Linked DNA regions of Coturnix japonica. The protein of the gene in region 2 binds, or shares a complex with, the protein of the main gene of each other region. Links are inferred from orthologs where the notes say so. Each region holds a gene or a part of one and is shown on either strand. Other genes may lie near its edges.

Evidence for each region. The genes of interacting proteins can lie anywhere in the genome.
Region 1: KAT2A (region 2) and MBIP share a complex: the UniProt entries of both Homo sapiens proteins name them as parts of the ADA2A-containing complex. The link is inferred for Coturnix japonica from reciprocal best matches to the Homo sapiens genes KAT2A and MBIP.

Annotation. Positions count from the first base shown.
Region 1 is NC_029520.1:33,103,751-33,107,496, reverse strand, and holds the start of MBIP (MAP3K12-binding inhibitory protein 1), read left to right. Parts: upstream 1-1,211; 5' UTR 1,212-1,232; coding exon 1,233-1,385; intron 1,386-3,746. UniProt on the Homo sapiens protein: Inhibits the MAP3K12 activity to induce the activation of the JNK/SAPK pathway. Component of the ATAC complex, a complex with histone acetyltransferase activity on histones H3 and H4.
Region 2 is NC_029542.1:4,445,659-4,449,404, reverse strand, and holds the start of KAT2A (histone acetyltransferase KAT2A), read left to right. Parts: upstream 1-1,200; 5' UTR 1,201-1,227; coding exon 1,228-1,461; intron 1,462-1,754; coding exon 1,755-1,878; intron 1,879-1,975; coding exon 1,976-2,121; intron 2,122-2,264; coding exon 2,265-2,354; intron 2,355-2,692; coding exon 2,693-2,874; intron 2,875-2,951; coding exon 2,952-3,143; intron 3,144-3,240; coding exon 3,241-3,347; intron 3,348-3,436; coding exon 3,437-3,544; intron 3,545-3,620; coding exon 3,621-3,746. Other genes in the region: heat shock protein 30C-like, read left to right, coding at 1-378. UniProt on the Homo sapiens protein: Protein lysine acyltransferase that can act as a acetyltransferase, glutaryltransferase, succinyltransferase or malonyltransferase, depending on the context.

The DNA of each region.
Region 1 (3,746 bases), on a different chromosome or scaffold from region 2:
TCTTGTAAAGCACATATTTCCATGAAATATATTTTTTAAATCATTAGCTCTTAAGTCAGTAATTTGCCTCTGGAATTGAGCAGACATTCCCTTTTGGTTGAAGCTCCAGAACCTGCTCATGATCCTATAGCAGTTCAGACATGCTACCATTTTCAAAGGGTTAAGTCAGCCATGGCAGCTAAAACCTGCTGCTGTGCTGCTGGAATTGCTGCTGGAACTTGGAATGAAAGACCAACAACCAACCAACCATCCAAACAACAACGACAACAACAAAAACCAAGTGTGATGGGACTGAAAATGAAACAATACCAAAGATTTCAGTGCTTTCCCAGCATCTCAGAAGGCTTAATACCTCAAGAAATGGAAAACATAAGTCTGGTTGATAAGTGGGTATCCTCTGCCCATCTTGTCTGATTGTGACTTGCAGAATTGGATTTGCTTCTACCCTCAGTATTCTGTTGTTGTTTACTAAATGATCTCCCTTTGGACATGAAAAATGCATGATAGGGAAAAAAGCTAAAATGTCGAGATTGGTCTGTCCTGCAGAGCTATGTGGTCTCCCTTTATACCAGAGATGGAGAATTGGCTCATAAGCCTAGGAATACCCTTTTCAAGAGACAGGAAGTATGAAATGAATCAAGAGAAATGATTGTAAAGGAAATCTGGGGGAGGAAACAGGAAAATGGTAAAAGACAGAAATTAAGTGACAAAAAGAAACACCAGGTAGAAAACTTTCATCAGCACTGCTGCTGTCCTAAGAAAGAAGGTGAGCAGATTGCAGAGGAGGAAGTAGTCTTGCCCTACAAATATAGTGTGACAAACTTGTTCCTCATTGTATGGCGACAGAGCTACCCTGCTGCAACTTGAGGAGTCAAGGCTTTGAAGATAAACTCATGAGTGTACAAAAGTTAGTAATAAGCAGAAAAGTAAGGCTGAAAAAGAAGTACAATCATTTGGTATGCTTAGTATGCTTAGAATTAACACACGTCCCTCTTTCCATGAATGCACTCAGTCAAGGCACTACCACTGTGGACGCAGCTGAAGGATAGAAAGGGACAGGAGGCAAAGAGAAGGGCAAGGTGATGAGTTGTGCTGGGAGTCCTGGGGCCTTTAGGTGCTGGGCAGCAGTCGGACGCTGCCAACACCGTACACCCGGAGAGCCGCCATCACGGCCGCAACATTGGCTGCTGCTCCTGTCCATCATCGTTCGTCATCGCTGAGCGACGCGGGGCATGTCGCTGCCGGCTGCGGCCCGTGCTGCTGTCATGGCGGCGGCGCCCGGCCTGACGGAGCTCGGCGAGCGCTCTCCGGAGGCTGGAGCCAAGCTGGTGGCCTCGGAGGTGGCGAGTAGCGCCCTGCGCTCCCTGGCCGGGCTGGCGGGGCAGGTGAGTACAGGGTGGGAGGAAGGGAGGACCGGGGCCGGGTCAGCCGTGGACCCGCTCCTGCTGTACTCGCCTTTTTGGGCGGGCATCTCTGCTTCTCTGTCCGTGGGACTCTTCGGGGATGGGTTTAAAGTATAGGGAGAAAATTCTGCAGTAAGTAAGGGAGGCTGTCATGTCTGCAGGTGACAACGGGAACGGTGGGGTTGCGTGCGTGGTACTGTAGGCTGCTTGGGGTTTTAGTGTTGATGAATTATGTAGCAGATAGCGCGGCAGTGGTGGGAGGCTCTTATCGAGAGAAGCTGCCAGTAACAACTTAATAATTGCCATCAATAATTTACAAGTGAACTCATCTTCCTTCATGGAAGCACAGATGTCTTTCTGTGGAGGCAATAGAAGTGCAGTCGTGCTTTTGCAGTTAGATGGCAGTTTGAAGGTCTGGCGTCAGGTGGTGAGCTTGTGTCTTGGGGAGGTAATAGAGTTGATATTAGAGCTGCTGCATGCCCTCAGGAGGATTGCAGTAATTATGGAACAGAATAAAGGTTTTGGAAACACTGATATTTGGAGTGTGTTCTTTGTGTGACAACTTAAAGCCCTTTCACTGCATGCTGTGCTGAACGATGGGTGGGTAGGGGTTTGGTTACCTGTCTTAGCTGTTGTGACTCTTCAGATTACTCACTCAAAGTCATTTCCAGCTGTCCAGTTACATTCTTACCTGCCAGCATTTGAGTTCTGGTAGACTAGTGATGTTTTAGCAGCTTATCCTCTTCAGATATCCATCTTGCACTTCTGACTGATGCTTCTGGTCCCTTTCTCCCCTGTATTGAGATGGTAGAACGTTTGCCAGGTCTTCGTCTATCACAGTTTGCAATCTGTCATAGCAACTTAAGCAAGATTTATGCCATCAAGTTGCACTGGAAACAGGAAAAATAAATGTGTGTATATATGTATATATAATATATACACAATGTATGTATATATGAGCAATATATATTGAGCAATGACTTGCAGTGCAGTGATTAGAAGGACATCTGAAGATAACAACTCTTGAAACCAATATGGCAGATCCTGAAAAGTTACTTTAATCCCAAGGGATAATTTGTGAAGTTTATAAAACAATTTCAAAGATCAGGAATAACTTTGATGTAAAATAGTGAGAAAAATAAGTGTGCAGTGTTTGAAATGTGTTTGGTTGCAGGAGGAGTTTGTCCTTTACTTAACAGTGTGTGTGAGTTTATCCCCTGCCTCTAGATTCTAAGTCAGAAGGAATTGTTTTTCACATTGCACCATACGACTGTAGGATACAAGAAGGGGGCTTACTAGGCCATTACAGCAGGACATGTATTTTGTCTGTTACGGCAGTGTACCTCTGTAGCTGTTTATCCTATCAGCGCTCTGTAATGTAGCATGTATTACTCTCAAAACTTTGGGAGGAAATACTTGCTTCGGATAGTGCCCTTTAGATGATCGCCCAGTCACAGATGTTTGACTTGTAAAGTGAGGTTTTATTATACCAAATTCTTAATACATTCTTATGTTTCTGAGGTTTCATAACAATTATTTACTAAAACATTATTTTCCTTGCCTCTTATGTAGATTAAGTACTAACTAAGAATAATGTTTGTGAAAATTATCTAAAATACATTACATATCCAACTAGATAAAAACCATGATTCAGTTGTTATTTTGTAGTGCATTGGAAAACAATGCAAATCTATCCACTGTTCCCCTAGGTACTTATTTTTTTGTCTCTAAAGGCCAGTAGATCTTCCATCTCTTTTGCTATGTAACTGATTTGTAATCTAACACTGGATTTATCAAGGCTGATCTTTGACTAAAGAACGAGGGATCACGCTTGTCCTTCTTTATGTATGATGTTGCAGTATTGCTTGGTTCGAAAACTGATGTAGAGCAATTTCAGGTTCTGCTGCTTTGCCTTCAGTGTAATGGAAACATTCTTGATTTTATTTGTTTCATAATATGTTGTGCTATGAAACAAGTACATATGCATTCCGCGTTCATAATATTTGGTGCTGTTGCAAGATAGTGATTTTTAGACTATGTGTTCAAGGTCAATCTTATCACGGATGTGATACTTTTATTTATTTATTTATTTATTTTAATATGGCAGGAATGAGATGTAGATGTACAGATTTGCTTGTGACTTGGGATTCTGCATCCAAAACAGAGCACTTGTATATCCTGTTGATTTAAAACCGTTGTTTTATCTGTATTTATGATTTGGGAGATTGCTTAGGGGATATTTGGTTGGAAAACAACCTGTTTGGTGTGTGAAAATGGAAGTGTTTCTCCTTTACAACATCTTATCAGGAAAGCTTTAGTGTAATGAATGTGTCATAGAGCTGT
Region 2 (3,746 bases):
AACGCGGCTCTGACCCAGGGCTCCGGGGAGGGATTCTCCGTCTGCCAGGACGTGAAGGACTTCGCCCCCGAGCAGCTGTCGGTGAAGGTGGTGGGCAGGAAGGTGGTGCTGGTGGGGCAGAAGGAGACGCAGAACACGGACGACAAGGGCTCCTTCTCCTACAAGTACGAGGTGCTGAAGCGCGAGTGGGACGTGCCCGAGGAGGTGGACGCCGAGGCGCTGACCTGCTCCCTGTCCAGCGAGGGGCAGCTGCGTATCGAGGCCCCCCGGCTGGCCCTGCCGCCACCCAACGAGAGGAACGTGCCCATCCAGCTGCCGGCAGCAGCGGCTCAGCCCGCGGCCAACGCCGAGGATGGAGCAGAGAGAGCCAAGGCGTGATGGAGCAGCGCGGGGCCGGGCTGAGCCCGGTGCGGGGGGGGATCTGTGGCCAAAGCGTGAAGGTTTATTTTTGATATGTAATAAACTTCCTTGACTTTTACATACACGGCTCGTGTCTTTGTTCATTTGGCGGGTCGGTCACCCCGGGAGCTGCACTGCGCCCTAAGGGCGCATCCCCGGCAGCTCCTCACCCCGCCCCGGTGGAGGAGGACGGACAGGGAGCGCTGCCACTCGTGCACAACAACACGGACACGGGGAGCGCCCCGGGACAGCGCCGGACACTTCGGGAAGGCGCAGGGACGTTCTCCGCGCTGCCGGGCGGGGACAGCAGCCGCCCCCCTCCCCACCCCCCATTACTTCCCCCCGCCCCGTCCCGTCCCTGCTCGCACGTTCCAGTCGCTGCGCGGCGCCCCGCGAAGGACGTTCGGCCAAACCCGCCCCCCCGGTGCTGCGGGCGGAGCCGCCCCGTGTCGGGACATTCGGGCTCCGGCCGCTCCTTGTTTCCCGGCTGTGGGTGACGCCGCGCTCCGTGTTTGGCGGCGCGGCGGATCCGTTCCCACGGTCCCGGTACCGGACCCCGGGCCGGCGACCCCCGTTTGCTCCGCGCTGAGCGTCGGCTCCGCGTTACCGGCGCAGCCCCGGGATGGGCGCTCCGAGCGGCGGCTCCATGGTCATCCCGCGGCGCTTCCTTTGTGCCCGTCCGCCATCCCGCCCCTCCGTCGGTGCGTTGCCCGGTCCCCATCCCGGTATCCCGGTATCCCGGTTCCCATCCCACCCCGCCGCCCGCAGCAGCTCCCGGCGTGCCCGGCGCGCAGGCGCAGTGAGCTCGGAGCGCACGCCGAGCCCGGCATGGCGGAGCCGGAGGCCGCGCAGCCCGGGAGGCCGCCACCGGCACCGGGAACCGCGGCGCCGCCGAACGGCGGGATGGGGAGCGGGGGGGCGGCTCCGGGAGGGGCGGGATCCAGCGACCCGGCGCGGCCCGGGCTCAGCCAACAGCAACGGGCGAGTCAGCGCAAGGCGCAGGTGCGGGGCTTCCCCCGCGGCAAGAAGCTGGAGAAGCTGGGGGTGTTCTCGGCCTGCAAGGTGGGCGCGGGGCAACCGGCTGCGCGGGGCGGGGGAGCAGCACGATGAGATTGGAGGGGTCGGAGGCGCCGAGGGCCGGGATGTGCCGGGATGTGCCGGGCTGTGTGATGCTGTGTGATGCTGTGCGGGGCTGTACCGGGCTGTGCGGGGCTGTACGGGGCTGTACCGGGCTGTACGGGGCTGTGCGGGGCTGTACGGGGCTGTGCGGGGCTGTGCGGAGCTGTGCGGAGCTGTGCGGGGCTGTACGGAGCTGTGCGGGGCTGTGCGATGGTTTCTCCCGTCCCTCCTCGCAGGCGAACGATGCCTGCAAGTGCAACGGCTGGAAGAACCCCAACCCCCCCACCGCCCCCCGCATGGACCTGCAGCAGCCGGTGACCAACCTGAGCGAGCCGTGCCGCAGCTGCGGCCACGCGTTGGGTAACCGCACACAGCCCCGGGGCTGCACGGCGCTGGGACCCCCAACCGTGGGGCGCTGCGCCCACCCCCATCTCACCACGTGCTGTCTCTGCCGCAGCCGACCATGTGTCCCACCTGGAGAACGTGTCGGAGGAGGAGATCAACCGGCTGCTGGGCATGGTGGTGGACGTGGAGAACCTCTTCATGTCGGTGCACAAGGAGGAGGACACGGACACCAAGCAGGTCTATTTCTACCTGTTCAAGGTGCGTCCATCTGTCCTGTTTGCCCTCTGCCCCACCTGCGGGCAGCTTCACTCCGTGCAGCCCCATTGCGGAGCTGCTGTGTCTGATCTCCTGGGAAGGGAGCGGGCATTGAGGTGCTGACGTGTCCCGTGGGGTCTTTGCAGCTCCTCAGGAAATGCATCCTGCAGATGAGCCAGCCGGTGGTCGAGGGGTCCCTGGGGAGCCCCCCCTTTGAGAAACCCAACATCGAGCAGGTGAGGCGGCTGTGGGCTGTGCTGGAGACTTGGGCTGTGGGCAGACAGGGCTGAAAACCCTGAACTGAGCAGACACAGCAGCAATTTGGCTTCATGGTGACCCCACGTGCTGTGCTGCAAACTCATGGAGCTTTCAGCTTTGTCACTGTGTGGAAAAAGAGGGAGTGTGTGTGTGTGTGTGTGTGTGTGTGTGTATGTGCTGGTGGCAGCAGTGGCCCTTCTGCTCCTGCCACCTCTCCATTCCTCCTGCTTGGATCTTGGAGGTACCTGCTGCCAGCTGGGCTCCGTGGCGCAGTGACCCCGGCCCTGGCACCCTCCAACCCACTCCTCTCCCCCAGGGGGTCCTGAACTTCGTGCAGTACAAGTTCAGCCACCTCCCACCCAAGGAGCGGCAGACGATGTACGAGCTCTCCAAGATGTTCCTGCTCTGCCTCAACTACTGGAAGCTGGAGACGCCGTCACAGTTCCGACAGCGCTCGCAGAATGACGACGTGGCCACCTACAAAGTCAACTACACCAGGTGAGGGGGGGCTGCCTCTGCATGGGGGTCTCCCAGCAGTGTTGCTGCAGGGGGGATCCCAGCACTGTCCCCCGCAGGTGGCTGTGCTACTGCCACGTGCCGCAGAGCTGCGACAGCCTGCCCCGCTACGAGACCACGCACGTCTTTGGGCGCAGCCTCCTCAAGACCATCTTCACCGTCACCCGCCGGCAGCTGCTGGAGAAGTTCCGTGTGGAGAAGGACAAGCTGGTGCCGGAGAAGCGCACACTGATCCTCACCCACTTCCCCAAGTAGGTGCCAGGCGCGGGGCTGCCGTCTGCGCGGCCGTTTCCCCTGTGCTCCCCATGGAGCTGTGTGCACCCAGCTCGGTGTGCTGCTTGCTGCCAGGTTCCTGTCCATGCTGGAGGAGGAGATCTACGGGGAGAACTCGCCCATATGGGAGGCAGATTTCACTGTGCCGGCTGCGGAGGGCGCCCAGCTGGTGTCACGTCCAGGTACCGTGGGGTGTTGGCTGGGCCGGTGCTGTCACGGCTGCATTGTGGATGGGGATTCCTCAGACTTACGGCTGCCTGCTCTCCTGCAGCCACCGTCAGTGCCGTCACTGTGCCCAGCGCTCCGCTCTTCAGCAAGAAGCTCAGCAGCAGCAGCTTGGCCACGAGCATGGACACTGGCACGCCAGAGCCTCTGCCAGGTAGGGCAGTGCAGGGAATGGGAACGGCTCCGGCCCAGCAATGGGGGCTCTGCCCGACGAGCTGCTGCTGCCCCAGGGGAGAAACGGAAGCTGCCTGAGAGCCTGACACTGGAGGATGCCAAGAGGATCCGCGTGATGGGCGACATCCCCATGGAGCTGGTGAACGAGGTGATGCTGACCATCACCGACCCCGCTGCCATGC